Oreochromis niloticus: one gene and its partner. Each later gene encodes a partner of the first gene's protein in a complex. Links are inferred from orthologs where the notes say so. Each region holds a gene or a part of one and is shown on either strand. Other genes may lie near its edges.

Region 1 (6,935 bases):
CCTATTTATGAAGAAGAGGACCAAGTGTCAAAAGCTAACAGTTTTTTTCCCCCCCTTATCACACATATTCCTTCATATTATGACCCCAAACGACTTTGTTGATAACATCAGTTGATATCATCAGTCTTCATATGCAGCATATCCTATGATGGCTGATGCTTTTCCCCCCAAATGCCACATCAGGTTCCTGTCACAAGGCTCGGAATACAAACTAGAAGCCAAGGTCTGGCTTCATGAAATGAGTTGATAATATAAATAGCCGCGCCGCATCTCTGTCATCGGCGGTGAAGGTTGGAAAAATTGCGGCAAAAAACATTAATTAAGTACTGACAGCTAAGAATGAAATTGGAAAAAAGAAAGATGAAAGGCAAAATTGCCTCATCTGACTGCTTAACAAACCCAGACGCAGGGGTGGAGATATCAAAGACAGACTAGGAGCCTGCACGGGCCATCTTCTAACCGAGCGGATCACTGATGCAGCAACAGATAGAGCAACTTCAAGGGCTGCTGCCAAAGCAAGAGTGATTACACTTGATTATCGCAAGCACTGCATTTTGTACACTATCCTTGATCACTTGTGGGAAATCAAAGGCAATACAGTACTTTATATTCCTATTAGGACACGCAGCTTACATCATTTTGGGATTCAACATTATTTGCCGCGCACAGCGCTTGTGATAAGATTTTTAAATAACCATGCCCTTCACTGTCTAGAAATCAATGATACTGCACACTAAGAATAATTATTTTTCAGTCAGCCTCTGTGCCGGGTTTCAAGAAATTGGGTTAAAATCTGCATGATTCCTGGCTTCTGTTCTCCCGTCTAGGATGCTTCTTCACACAATGCAGCCAGCCTCTCCTTCTGCAGGTTAAGTCTCACCTCCACGTTTGAAACCTCCTAACGAGATTTGGCTTTGATTCTCTCTGCCTTAGGGGAGGAGGAGGAGGAGGAGAACTTGGAGCAAATAAAAACAATGATGGTGTGGTGTCATTCTAAACAGTTGTTCTGATGAATAATTTAAAACCACGCAGGCAGTTTCTGATTCCAGGGTTCTCTAAGCTCATATCCTGGGAGCAAATTAAAATATCTCGTTGAGTTAGCTTGGATTTTCACATGTGGGATTTTATTAAGCTTAGTATGAGTTTAAATTGGTTGTAGTCTACTTAACACTTGAGTCTAACGAGTAGTGATGGGCGGCAGTATCTCAAGAAAACGGATTTACTAATGTTTCAAAATCACACCCATAAAAAAGACCCTCAAAATGTTTTTAATTGTGTGACATGGAAAAACGTACTACATCTGTGCACCACAAATGCAACTTATTATAGGCAATAATTTAAAAAAATGCCATCAATATCACTACATGCTTTTTTAAATGTAATTATAACGACTTAATTAGGTGTACATACAGAGCGCCTCCCACTTCATTTGTCAGATGTGTGTGCGAGAAACATATAATTAAAAGAAAATAACACTCACGAGTACAGGTAATTCTTCTGATTACTGCTCATGCTGGCCATTAAAGAGGTACTCTTTCCTCAACAATGAGGGACAAAGCCTACTTAAATCTAAAACAACTTTAGCTGCAGGTGATCCTTGGACTGTACTGCAAAGCCGACTATTCCAGAAACAGAAGCCCAGGAAAGCCCCCGGACCAGACGGTGTCTCACCCTCCTGCCTCAAGACCTGTGCTGAACAGCTGGCTCCCATCTTCACTCGCATCTTCAACAGATCCCTGGAGCTGTGTGAAGTTCCATCCTGCTTCAAACGCTCCACCATCATCCCTGTTCCCAAGAAACCCACCATCACAGGACTGAACAACTACAGACCTGTCGCCTTGACGTCTGTGGTCATGAAATCCTTCGAACGACTGGTGTTAGCCCATCTGAAGGACATTACAGGCCACCAGCTGGACCCTCTGCAGTTTGCCTACCGGGCAAACAGGTCGGTGGATGATGCAGTGAATATGGGGCTGCATTACATCCTGCAACACCTCGACCGCCCGGGAACTTATGCCAGGATCCTGTTTGTGGACTTTAGTTCGGCTTTTAACACCATCCTGCCTGAACTTCTCTCTTCCAAACTCTCCCAGCTCAGCGTGTCTCCAGCTACCTGTCAGTGGATCACCAGCTTCCTGACAGACAGAAAGTAACAAGTGAGGCTGGGGGAGATCACCTCTGAAACTCGGACCCTCAGTATTGGTGCCCCTCAAGGATGTGTCCTCTCACCACTACTGTTCTCCCTCTACACTAATGACTGCACCTCCAAGAACTCAGCTGTTAAACTCCTAAAGTTTGCAGATGACACCACCGTCATTGGCCTCATTCAGGATGGTGATGAGTCTGCATACCGGCAGGAAGTTGAGCGGCTGGTACTCTGGTGCAGTCAGCACAATCTGGAGCTGAACACTCTTAAAACTGTAGAGATGACACTGGACTTCAGGAGACATCCCCCAACTCTGCCCCCCCTCATCATGTCAGACAGCCCTGTGTCGACTGTGAAGATCTTCAAGTTCCTGGGTACCACCATCTCCCAGGACCTGAAGTGGGAGACCAACATCAACTCCATCCTCAAAAAGACCCAGCAGAGGATGTACTTCCTGAGACAACTGGGGAAGTACAGTCTTCCACAGGAGCTGCTGACCCAGTTCTACACTGCAGTCATTGAGTCTGTCCTGTGCTCCTCCATCACAGTCTGGTATGGTGCAGCCACTAAACAGGACAGGAGCAGACTGCAGCGGACTGTATGGGCAGCAGAAAGGATCATCGGCGCCCCCCTGCCCTCCATCCAGGATCTGTACCTCTCAAGAACCAGGAAACGGGCAGGGAAAATCATCACAGACCCCTCACACCCTGGACACAGACTTTTTGACCTGCTGCCCTCTGGCAGACGGTACAGAAGCCTGCAGACCAGGACCACCCGACACAGGAACAGTTTCTTTCCCCTCGCCATCTCCCTTCTAAACAGTTGACCTGTCACACTGCTCCCCACTGCCAGACTGCAACTGCACCTCATGTACATTTTGTAGTATTCATTCCACCTCATTTCATTTCTGTATTTTATGTACATAAGTTTAGTTATTTATAGTTGGTTTACACAGCTTTGTGTATGTATGTGTATGCATGTGTAATGTATATATAGACGTGTGTGTGTGTGTGTGTGTGTGTTTTACATTGCTGTGCTTGATAGCCACCATCTACCGGAACCAAATTCCTTGTATTTGTCTGCACATATACTTGGCCAATAAACACGATTCTGATTCTGATTCTGAAAAACAAGAACTATCAGCAGGTTTGTCCGACAGGGATTAATCCTAGTCTTAGACTTAAAGATAAATTCAGTAAAGACCTCCATTGGGGACGGGGTATGGTTAGTACTGCATGATCCATTTCTGGGAAACTGAGTCTGTCGGTTGTGACCCAGGTCATTTACTGCATTCACACTAGGAATGCATAATTGTTGGAGGCAGCATGAGTGCCTGTCAGCTTTTTCAGGAATCTGATCAGCGAAAATAGGAGACCATATTCAACCATCAGGTCTGTAATTAGAATTTACTCACCCATAAGTAGTGGAGACTGCTTAGGTGTTTTACTGATAAATCATTGAAATCGTCTATTTATTAAACGATTTTACTCCCCAACAAGCAAAACTGCAGTACTGGCTGCATTAGCTTTAAAAGTGTTTTCTCTGGATATCTCTTTTTTGTTATGTTAAGAGTTGTGTTCATTAATAATTATCGTCAATTACTTAAAAGTGTCCTGTCATGGACGACAAAATTACATTTTTCGTGTGACACCTGAATGCAGCAAAGCGCGGTTACAAATGACACTTTTCTCATCCCCCGATGGACTAACAAAACGGACCAATCAGCCTGCCTTCTGCAGTATCATTAGCCAGTCATTTGCAGAGGAGAACTTGATTGTCCAATCAGAGACAGGGGGAGGCAGCTATACTGTTTGTTGTTTCCTTGCGCCGGACGATGGAAGATGAATGAGGCGCCTAGCTTGCTTTCGGCTCCTAAGTGCAGCAACACTGCATATTAATTTGTAGCTGAAGTAAAAAAAAATCAAAATAAATATATAATTGATCCGACTGTTATTGCGCTTAAACGTAGCTGGAAGGCTAATCGATGCAGAGGTACATTGGTCACAACAAACGGTAGCATGCACGGGAAGGAGTCGCTGGAGGTGGATGCAAGGTTCAAATTTTCAGGTGAATTATTACATACAATACTACACCAAGAAAATAGAAAACTACAAGAAAGAAAGATAGTTTTAGCTCGGAATAGCACAGGGCTTGCTAAAGAAACAAAAACATATCGTTTGATATCTCAAACGTTAGCTAAAAAGGCTAACAGTGATGCTAGTTAGCTGACACACAGTATACATACAAACAGCCAGAGTAAGCGCACTATGTATAGGATACATACGCACACACACACTGTCATGTACAATGTGTGCGTGTGTATATAACACACTGTTATATACAGTGTGTGTGTACGTATGTATACTGTGGTTTATAAAGGAAGTAGTCAACAGTAATATGTCTGTCACACCAGCGTTGGTTGGACTGAGTTATTGTCTGATGTCTATGGGTTGTTAGGAAAACGTCTGTTATAGTTACAGTTGTTCTAAAAGCAATCACCTAAAACTTGTTTGTTTTACTCATACAGGCTGAGGGAAGAGAGCTACCATGAACCCAAGCCTTAACAACTGCATGATGCCCAGCTGTACCAGCAGCAGCATCACTGAACTGCTGAGTGCCCTGTGTGACTGCAGCCTTTCTGGGGTGTCATGGAAGCGCAGAGCACTGGGAGGAGTCTCAAGAGAAAGTTTCCACAGGGCTCTTAAAAAACGCGCCTATGGTGCCCTCCTGTCTAAGCTGTTTCAAGATGGCACCAAAGGACCTGCACCAGGACTGAGTGCCACAGCTAATACACCACCGAGAAATAAAGTCTTGATGATATGTTTTGATTTACGCGTGGCTGGCTGTCGAGAGGAAGCAGAAAGGCTGGAAGAGCAGCTCGGGAGGCTGCCAGAGGGAGAATACTCTGGTTTGAAGGAAGTGGATGCAGTCCTTGACCTTCTTGTGAACCTAGCTGGGTCGGCACCTCCTCCCCCTACCTCGTTCAGCAGGGACTATATGAGAAGAGAGAGGCCTGTGCTGCGGATGCCTCAACCATGGAGCTACCAAAGTGAGGACTTGCAGAGGCTGGAGGCACGGGCATGGGGTCTGGTGTGTGGGGAGGAATGGGGGACTTTGGAGAGTCTGTATGGAACTCAGAGGCTGATGGATGCTCCACCTGGCACAGGACTGCTAGCTTTGAGAACAAAACTAGAAGCAGAAGAAAGATTTGAAAAGGAGACCAGGCTGACACTGTTTGGAGCACTGCAGCACACTCGCACCTCGGACATGGACATAAGACTAGATCTGCCTCCAATCCCCAGTAATATTGATGTAACAGGGTTGGCGATACGAGTAAGACACCATATTATATCCTTAAGTAATGCATTTAGTTTAGCTTAGGCTGTTTTATCACATTTCCACTTCAGCAGCTCAGCGTATTCATATTTGCACAGTGTTTGATTTAAATAATTTATCTTTGCATTGCTTTATGCACTCTCTCTTTGTTGTTCTCTGCAGGTGCCTCCTTGTTTAGATCAGTGTGAAGATGAGGGCTTCCAGTCAGCCTCCAACCTGACCCCAGACTCTCAGTCAGAGCCTAGCCCCATTCCAGACTTTGATATCTGGGAGGCTCTACGCACATTTGAGCCTGGAAGACGCCGCTGCTGGGAGTCTGTTGGCTGGTAAGTGATGTGTCAGTTTGATTATGCTCTAAGGATACCAAACTACTTTTCATATTTAAAAAAAGCAGCTGTAACCCACTAACAGTTGTAAATCTAGTTCCTCACTATAATATGACAGCAACTACCGATTCTTTTCATAGTTTTATTGTTCCGCCTTTTTTGAAATAATTGATGGGTCTGTAAAATGCCAGAAATAATGATAGATTGAATGATAGAAGCTTGCTTACTTTTTTGTAAGATGCCAAGCTAATGAAAATGTAAAAAAAAAAGAAAAGAAAAGAAAAAAAAAAGCATTTTTGAAAAAAATAAACCAGTCTGTGTTTGGGTTTTAAGGTCTAACATAAATAAACATCTAAATGTCAAATGACAACAAAATTTGTGACATATAAATGAACAGAAATCCACTTTAGCTGGTAGATACAGAATTCAAGAGTATCCTGAATTAAACCAAAGCCTTTAGTTTAGAAAATGACATAATGACACATACACTATTAACTACAGAGTCATCAAGGTATTGGAGAGTCCCACTTATTTAGTTTTTTTTTTTGGTTTTGTATTTTTTTTTTCCCTCTGGAAAACGGAACTGAATGCCTTGTTTGTCCCACTAGCCCACCTGGAAAAAGGGAGTCTTTCTATCTAACAGAGGGAGGCAGGGAGGCCTTTGACCAGCTCTATCGGCTTTGGGAGGGTGAAATGAGGGTGGTGAGCACGAGCACACCGTCTCCTGTCCTCCCCTTACCCCTGGACTCCCAGAAGCAACTGGTGTCTGATCTCCTTAACGTCCTAATTGGAGTGGCTTCTACTACTTTTCCTCTCAACCAGGTGCAGTTCGTTATCTTTTATTAGTCTCTAAAATGCACTTTATTTGTTTTTTTTGTTTGTTTTTTAGTAGTCTGTCAGGCAGAAGTGATAAAAGTAACTAAAAGCGCTGTGACAGCCTACAAATAGAAAAACAGATTAAAAGGAGAAGCTGGAATGTGATATAATGGGAAATTCATGCATATAAACAAGCTGTACTGACTCATAAAATGTAACAGTGTGAAGTGTATGCTTAAGTCAGCTGCCTGATTAAATGATCATGAAATAAAATAAAATATTCCTAATTCTGAACATAAAAACCCAGGGGA
Region 2 (7,656 bases), on another chromosome or scaffold:
TAAACACCCTGTGCAGAGGTCCATAAAACAACGTATCCTGAAGCCAGTCAAAAAAAACAAACCTGAACGTAACTTAATGTGACAATAATCCAGAAACTGAATTTAACTATTAGAAACAGAGCGAAGAAATGGCTCAGTCAGCTTTTAATTCATTAGTGGCATTATTCAGCGCATCAGACTGTGATATAAAACAACTCCGTATCAAAACATGATAAAAAAAAGTTTTATAAAAATCATAAATACAGCTCAGATCTGATGTTGCCTGAAAGTCAAGATATATCCAACACCAAATTAAAAGAAAACAAAACTCCCAAAAAACAACAGAAATTGTGCTAGGATCAATACAGCTTTCAGGAAGGTTATTGTTGTGCAAGTTGAATGCAGACTTGATAGTTTGATGCTGGTTTCAAAAGTACAACTGTCTGTGGATTAGACTTCCCTTTGATAACCTGTGATTAAAGAAACTCTGCTTCCAGTCAGGTAACTTGTGAAACCCCATGGTTGTATTCATACCTCATTTAACAGTTAACACAATTCAGTCTAACTGAACATATTTACCATAAATGCTTTAGACATAGTGTAAACCTTGTTGTATTTGATTGCAAAATATTAAGCACATGCTTTCACTAGAAGAAGAATCCCTTTCAATCCATCTATCACTTGGCTCAGTGGTGAGGAAAAAACACCTGAAAGAGAAGAAACTTAGTTTTAATCAAAAGAAGAAGAAAGTAAGGATATACAATGTACACACTAGAGCACACTTCAGGGTTTTCTGTTACACTAACATGGTCGTTGTTTAAAGTGTCTAATCTTAGGTTTTTCTCAGTGAAGAGTTGCTTAAATTTTACTAAATGAATGAAAGAAGTAATTTTTTTTTTTTTTTTTTTTTTTTTTTTTTTTTTTAAAACAAAACTTAATGCTGATAATAACAGTTTTAGGAACAATTAGATCTAAAGGCACAAACTCATGTATCCACATTCTTGTGATTGTGTGTAAAGTCAGTACCTTTACTTTAGTGTGTCGAGTGACTTGGAAGGCATCTTCTGCCATGTTTGAACTGAAGAACTCTTTGCTGTCAAAGTCTTTGTTGGTGCCATCAATAAGACTGACTGCTGAGGTAGTGTTATAACCGCTGTCCACCTGAACACGTGCAAAAAGCCAGTCAATCAGAAATATTCTGTTACCCAAAACATCAATATGAAATTATCCTTCCCGGGGTTAAGCTGTTTTTACAAACCTGCATGCTAGAATCGTAGCGTATGCTGCTTCCTTCTGCCAGGAGAGACACAAACATGTGAGAGTTTTCTATTGCTGATGCATTAACCATGCGAGAGCTGGTCAGCTGCTCGGAAGGCCCCACACCTTCATCCTCCTCATACTCGAGCCTCGGTTCAATTTCTGTCTCTTTGCCTTCCTCCATTTTCACAGGTTCCATTGGGTCCATGCTAACTCTCTCAGTGTTGGTGGGGTGAGAGTCTTGTGTCAGGGGTGATGATGACGAATCTAATTCCATAGAGGGGAAAGAAGAGCGAGTGGCAGAGGGGAGGTGTTCTTCAGCCACCTCATTGTCTGGGAGCTTAGGGTTGAGGATCGGTGAGATGAGGGGAGGGGAAGCCCAGCAGCGGCCTCTAGGTCTGGGCCTGGGTCGAGAAATGCGCTGGGGTTCATTGTGGCAATGGAGCTGGTGTGGGGAGCAGCTACGAATGGGAGAGCAACCCTCAACAAATGGACTCTCACTGCAGGAAGCGACCATGTCCAGGGGGGCACCACGTGGGGTCAAACAGCTCGGCTGGTTCCTCTCAGCTAAAGAAAGAACACAGTAACAATTACTTGCCTTTTTACCAACATTTTGTCTTCTCAGTCACATATTCTTTGTTGGATCATAACATTCCTGAAGCACATCCCCATTCAGAAGATAACGAAGACACATCTGCCTCAATTACCAGTCCTTAATTCAATGTAAAGACCAAATTATATAGGTGTTCTTCTTGCTCCAATGCAACTTATTCTGCATTTTATCATAATATCACCAACTAAATACATGGAGGCATCACCACCATACTCAAAGGATCATGTATTATAGAGGAAGATTTAAAACTACTAGCTGGATGAAAACTGTTGTCATGATAAAAAAAAAAAAAAAAAAATTATATATTTATTTATTAAATACAAAACCATGTCAGTGTGGATGTAGCCTTAGCCAATATTTCTCCAATTTTGATTTGTTTGGATATTAAAATTTTAGTTACAAAGTGTAACTAGTGTTTTAGTTACAACTGTGTACCTGAGCCAACAGGTGTGCGTGCTGCATGTGCAACAATAGGAGAAATTGTGGGGGAGATGAGGCCAGCAGGAGAGGACCTATCACGGAAGAGAGGACTGTCGATGCTGCCAAGGCTACAATCCCGGAAGCGTCCGTGCTGGATGGGACTCGAAGAGAACTGACCCTAAAATAGCAATAGCAATTTTATTTATGTAGCACATTTCATTACGTGTAAACTGCTTAACAAAGAAGATAAAAACCTGTGTAGGTTTACAATCCTTTAAGGCAGCAAAAACACAAAAACAAATCAACAGCAACTATTTAGTGTAAGCCTGGGTGAAGGCTTAACAGTGTAAATGTTCATTTTCCTGTTATTAAAATATTCGTTGAGCAAAATATGATCTCCAGATGCATTTTTTTCTTTTGAATTTTATGCTTAAAATTAAATTGTTTGGGTAACGGTTGTGTATATGAAATCCCTACACTCCTCTACTTACCGTAGAAGGCGTCGGAGCTGACACACCACAGGCCGAAGGGGAGGAAAAGATAGCCGATACAGCTTCTCCCTCAGAACCTTCAACGCAGTCTCCTCTCTTGAGAGATGGCTTTTCCTGACCGGCATTGCCTCTCTCTGGACTTGGAGGGCTCGAGCTGTCTGAGCCACTATAACTATTTTGGCCATCAAGGAATAGTTTTCGTCGCAAGGAGGAGCTGCTAAGACTCTCCTGCACTGGATCACACACTTCTTCATAACGGTAATATTCCCCTGTGAGAAAAAAAAAAAAAACAGAAACAGTGACTTGACAGCAGATTGTTCGATTTTCTTTTTCTCACTATGATCCTGTTGGTGTTTAGTCAAGGTTTACCTAGAACTTTCTCCAAATCAAAAGCCAAAGGCAATGTAAGGGTTGTCTGACATCCAACTGTAGATCAAAACACACAAAGTTATATATATATATAAAAAGTAGGTAAAAGGGGGAAAAAAAGTCAAAACAGGTAAAAAAAAAAAAAAAAAAAAGTAACCAACCTGAAATTTTTTCTGGCTCCTCTGCAATCATTGCAGACATTGAACCTACAACATTAAAAATAAAAGCATTTACAAAACCAGAGTTCAACAGAAATCTATGGATAAAAACAAAATAAATACAAATACAAAACCTATAAGAATTAAGAAGTAACATAAAAGATAAGATAACTTACTACTCTTAGAAATCTGAGGGACTTTACGGGTCTCTGGTGCCGCCCAGGGGGAAGGGACAATTATTCCTTTGGTGAAAAACTTTATTGGAGACAGGATAATGACATCAGTACAAAGGGAATCTATAAATTTTGGGTACACTAAATTCTGTATCATTAGTAAAGGATGAGATTTGGTTACCTGCTCAATAGCATTCTGACGTTTTTCCTCAATGTCCGAATCCGTCCTAAAAGAAAGACCACTCACGTTTGATAGAGTCTTTAATAAGCTCCCCAGGTTTAATACATAGAGGAGGTATTAAAATCACAAAATAAAACAATACATTTCTTCCTCAAAGAATTTCACATTTGTCACAGTGTCAGCCTTATTACATCACTTACCTTGTCTGACTGAGGTAAAAAGATTGTCGCTGAATTTCCTCTGGGTCTATGTGCACTGGTAGGAGACTGGCCATTTCATCAATAGACCAGTTAAACTTAGGTGGAGTCTGGGTAAATTAAACAAGTCTAGAATTATTAAGAGACTACATCAAATCATGAGTAAACGAGTTGAGTAGATGATATGAAGTAAATTTAAAACTTACAGCTTTACAAGGTAGGGACTTGAATACAGATGGACTTGGCACCAGCGGTTCGCGAAGATGGTGATAGTCGTTTGGACTTTCAAAGGGGTTTCTAATGGAGGGCCTGCCTGGAGTCTCTGGAGTGATCTGGATCTCAGCATGGTCCCCCATTTTAGCTGACAAGAAATATCAAAGTCGGGATGACGATAAATGACAATCCAATCACAAAAAGACACTAAAATTATTTCGTGATAAGGCGATTTTTTGTATTATTTTGTTCTACTCTGGTACGTTGGCTACATTACTCCCTCTGTTTCTATAGCGTTAAAAAAAAACCTTCGAAGGAAGCAGCTTTTAAAATGAGGATTTAGCTTCACACATTTCACTTCACCCCTAACTTATTTATACATTTACGCAAGAACTAGATAACGTTTGTCTTACAACTGTTGGTACTTACAATTGTGAATGAGCCGGAACTCTAACAGCAATATTCATTGGAAAGCCAGCAGCAAACAATCAGCAGAGAGACCAGTTCAAACGTTTTTTAATTTCGCCCACAAGGTAGGCTAGCCAATAGAATCGTCGCAGGAAGTTCGCGTAACCAATGAAGAATTTCGTGTCGTCACTTCCTTCAGCACACTTTCGCGAGTAGCGGCAATGAGCGCTGTCAGCTAGCTAGGATCTTATATTGACCTTTACGTGATTGTGCTAGCCTGGTTTTTGCTGATTCAATCTAAATGTATAAGAAACGCCTGAAATCTGGCTGATTTTTTGCGTTGTGTCTCTAAGTCTTAATTTGTCAGCCACTTGCTAGCAAGCGTTGGCTAGCTATAGTCATCCATCACTATGGCCAGTGCAGCAAACGCAAACCTAAACGCAGTACGGGAGACGATGGACGGTAAATATGTAATTACTGCGTGTAGTATTTTGTGTATTTGTATAATAGTTGTAAATTCATCTTAAAATATATATAGTACGTTTTAGCATGTGTGTCATAGCTGTGTCTGTTTTTACCTCCTCCCCCAACAGTGTTGCTGGAGATCTCCAGGTTGCTCAACACTGGCTTGGATATGGAGTCTCTATCCATATGCGTGAGACTGTGTGAGCAGGGCATCAACCCAGAAGCTCTTTCTGCAGTCATCAAAGAACTGCGGAAAGCTTCCGAGTCCCTTAAGGTACAGACACAGCCTCCCTAAAAGCTAATCAGCTCACATTGTACATACATGTAGATACTTTACTGAGCCAACAAGGAAATTATTGTTAAAGCGGCAGAAGGATAAAAATGATATAATCTACAGCATTATTAAAGGTACCACAGGCTTATACTTGATTTCTTATTAGGAAAGGTCTGGATCCAGTCTGGATCCTTTCTGTATGACGTTTTGCATAGTCTCCAGGTACTCACCGTCCCCCCCACAGTCCAAAGACATGCATGGGGTTAGGTTAATTTTGGTTCCAATTTAAACACAGGTCTGTCTGTGTTAGTTTTGCATTCTTTATGAATGCAACTGGCATTAAAAAGAACATGTACACTATAAATCTGAGAAATCACAGGAAGAAGGTTTGATACAGAAATATCTCTGCCATCTAATCTTGTTTCACCTTTTTTCACCAGTTATATAAAGGAGACTTGTAGAGTTTTATAGAGAACAGTAGGAATGCTTTCCTTTATGGCAGCAAAGTCAGCCCTCTGTAGTTTGGAATGGAGTGAGTTAGATGGGTTGTCCATAATGGTAAGCAGTTTATTCAGTGACCTCCTGTCCCTCACTGACTTAAGTGACTCCAGATTCCAGCCAATGATGGTTCCAAACTTGTGGATTAGTTTGTTGATCCTGCTGGCATCTCTGGCACTGATGCTGCCTCCCACTGCTAACTGAATCTGAGCTTAATTAGAAAGTCCGGTCTGCTCTTACCCTTCTTGTACATAGCATCACTATTTATCCTCCAGACCAGTCTTTCATTCAAGTGAACACTCAAGTACCTGTCCACTGTTTTACCATCCTTACCTATGACATTAATGGGCTTCGGCACATTTTTTTAAAAATTTCCTCTAAAAGTCAAACATCATCTCTTTTTCACATTGAGGAAGAGGTGATTTCTGCCAGACCATTTGTTTGAAATATGTTAAATATGCTTGAAACTATGTGTTTAGAAAAATACTTTACATTTAAGTTTTTTTTGTGTAACTTGAACAATTTTCACATTTTTTTTTTAATATCTTTAAGATGGGATATGCATGAAACTGTTAAATGCACATCTAACCCTACTTCAGTGAATAAACAAGTGGTATGTCCCACAGTGGCGGTCACTTGTCTGTGGAATCGGTCCAAGTAGTTAAATTCTTTGGAATTGTTAGCCTGCCTGCCTATCAGATTCGCTTATCAGTTCTCATGGCACTGGAGGAGGAAAATAGTGACACAGTCTACAGCATGGATATAAACAATACTTTAGTTTTAAAAGCCAGTACGATGGTAAATTGCAAACTGCCCAGGACAAAAACAACTGAATTTTGCTGCTAACCTAACTACGGATCTTTACAAGCACCTGCACAGACGACATGCTAACGCTAATCTAGCCAAGAACCCAGAGTGATGTTAAAGCTGAGTGAATGCTGACCCCACCCCAGCATACTTTGTGTTCATACATAAATACTAAAGAAAAATACTAGAGTAAAGATCATATGTGTGTCCTCATTAGGATAGGGATTTGTGTTTGTGTGTGGGACTGTAGCCTATAGGTTTATACTGTTATATAATATGATATAAAATTCTATAATTATGAGACAATGAGTTTCAGGTAATTTTATGGAGAAAACTTTCTCCTGGGAGTAATTAAGCAACATAATCCATTACATTTAAGAAAAGTGTTCTGTGTAATCCCTCAAATATGTAATACCTGTTCTAGTTATCATCACACCACCCAACCGAGTCTTTCCGGACTTATTCAGATGTTTAATTGATGTCAATACAAAAGCGAACACCAGCAATGGCAGTGTGACAGGCTGTGTGTGTGTGAAGTATAGATAACATCTGAAATTTAAGAATGTTTATAAAGATGCAGCCGGGTGTAGGGTGACAGAACCTCTTTTTGCATACCAGTTTTACTGAGATATGCCGACACAAAGTAAGCAAAACACCTGATTTTAAAGCATTATGGGCATATTATTAGATTTGCACAGATATAAGAATCAGTATAACCAAATCTTGAACACAGATTTCCAACCAAGATTATTTTACTCATTGAAAGAGGCTTAACATGTCGTCCAGAAAATAAACTGTGGTCATTTAATGCATATCAGGATATGAAGTACCAGATTCACAGAAGGGGTTTTTATATATATAAAGTTCTCTCCTAACCTGCTGCTATTGGCCCCTTTCAGATATGCTCTGCTGCATCTATAATCTGTTGGCTTCCTGTCTAAAAGACCACCACAGTCAACTTGCAAAAAAAGTAATTACTATAAGTGAGCCTTTGTAACATTTTTTTATTCAAATCTTTCAACAGAAGTCTTACTGCATGCAGTTGCCTTAACAAATAGAAAATGCCATAAACAGTCATAGCACATGCAAAAAGCATTTTGTCCCTTTCACTCATTTCTAATTTTCGGCGTTTCTTGTGTATGTTGCATTTTCT

The links. The genes of interacting proteins can lie anywhere in the genome.
Region 2: the proteins of tubgcp6 (region 1) and mzt1 are in contact, whole or in part, in a crystal structure (PDB 6M33), measured with the Homo sapiens proteins. The link is inferred for Oreochromis niloticus from reciprocal best matches to the Homo sapiens genes TUBGCP6 and MZT1. Residues at the interface, in NP_065194.3 of Homo sapiens: Met1, Ala2, Ile4, Leu7, Phe8, Asp10, Leu11, Cys12, Ala14, Leu15, Pro17, Ala33, Leu37, Val40, Ala41, Ala44, Leu45, Asn48, Ile70, Leu73, Lys85, Arg88, Leu89, Leu92, Val93, Glu95, Leu96, Leu104, Leu105, Ser109; in NP_001065243.1 of Homo sapiens: Asn17, Ala20, Val21, Thr24, Val27, Leu28, Glu30, Ile31, Ser32, Ile34, Leu35, Asn36, Thr37, Leu39, Glu42, Thr43, Leu44, Ile46, Cys47, Arg49, Leu50, Cys51, Glu52, Gln53, Ile55, Asn56, Pro57, Glu58, Ala59, Leu60.

The regions. Positions count from the first base shown.
Region 1 is NC_031972.2:47,194,018-47,200,952, forward strand, and holds the start of tubgcp6 (gamma-tubulin complex component 6), read left to right. Parts: upstream 1-3,932; 5' UTR 3,933-4,213; intron 4,214-4,673; 5' UTR 4,674-4,693; coding exon 4,694-5,479; intron 5,480-5,644; coding exon 5,645-5,808; intron 5,809-6,416; coding exon 6,417-6,630; intron 6,631-6,935. UniProt on the Homo sapiens protein: Component of the gamma-tubulin ring complex (gTuRC) which mediates microtubule nucleation.
Region 2 is NC_031978.2:13,425,682-13,433,337, reverse strand, and holds the start of mzt1 (mitotic-spindle organizing protein 1), read left to right. Parts: upstream 1-4,645; 5' UTR 4,646-4,869; coding exon 4,870-4,921; intron 4,922-5,052; coding exon 5,053-5,198; intron 5,199-7,656. Other genes in the region: bora (protein aurora borealis), read right to left, coding at 666-686, 1,006-1,140, 1,238-1,803, 2,285-2,447, 2,761-3,029, 3,130-3,186, 3,291-3,335, 3,464-3,542 and 3 more. UniProt on the Homo sapiens protein: Required for the recruitment and the assembly of the gamma-tubulin ring complex (gTuRC) at the centrosome.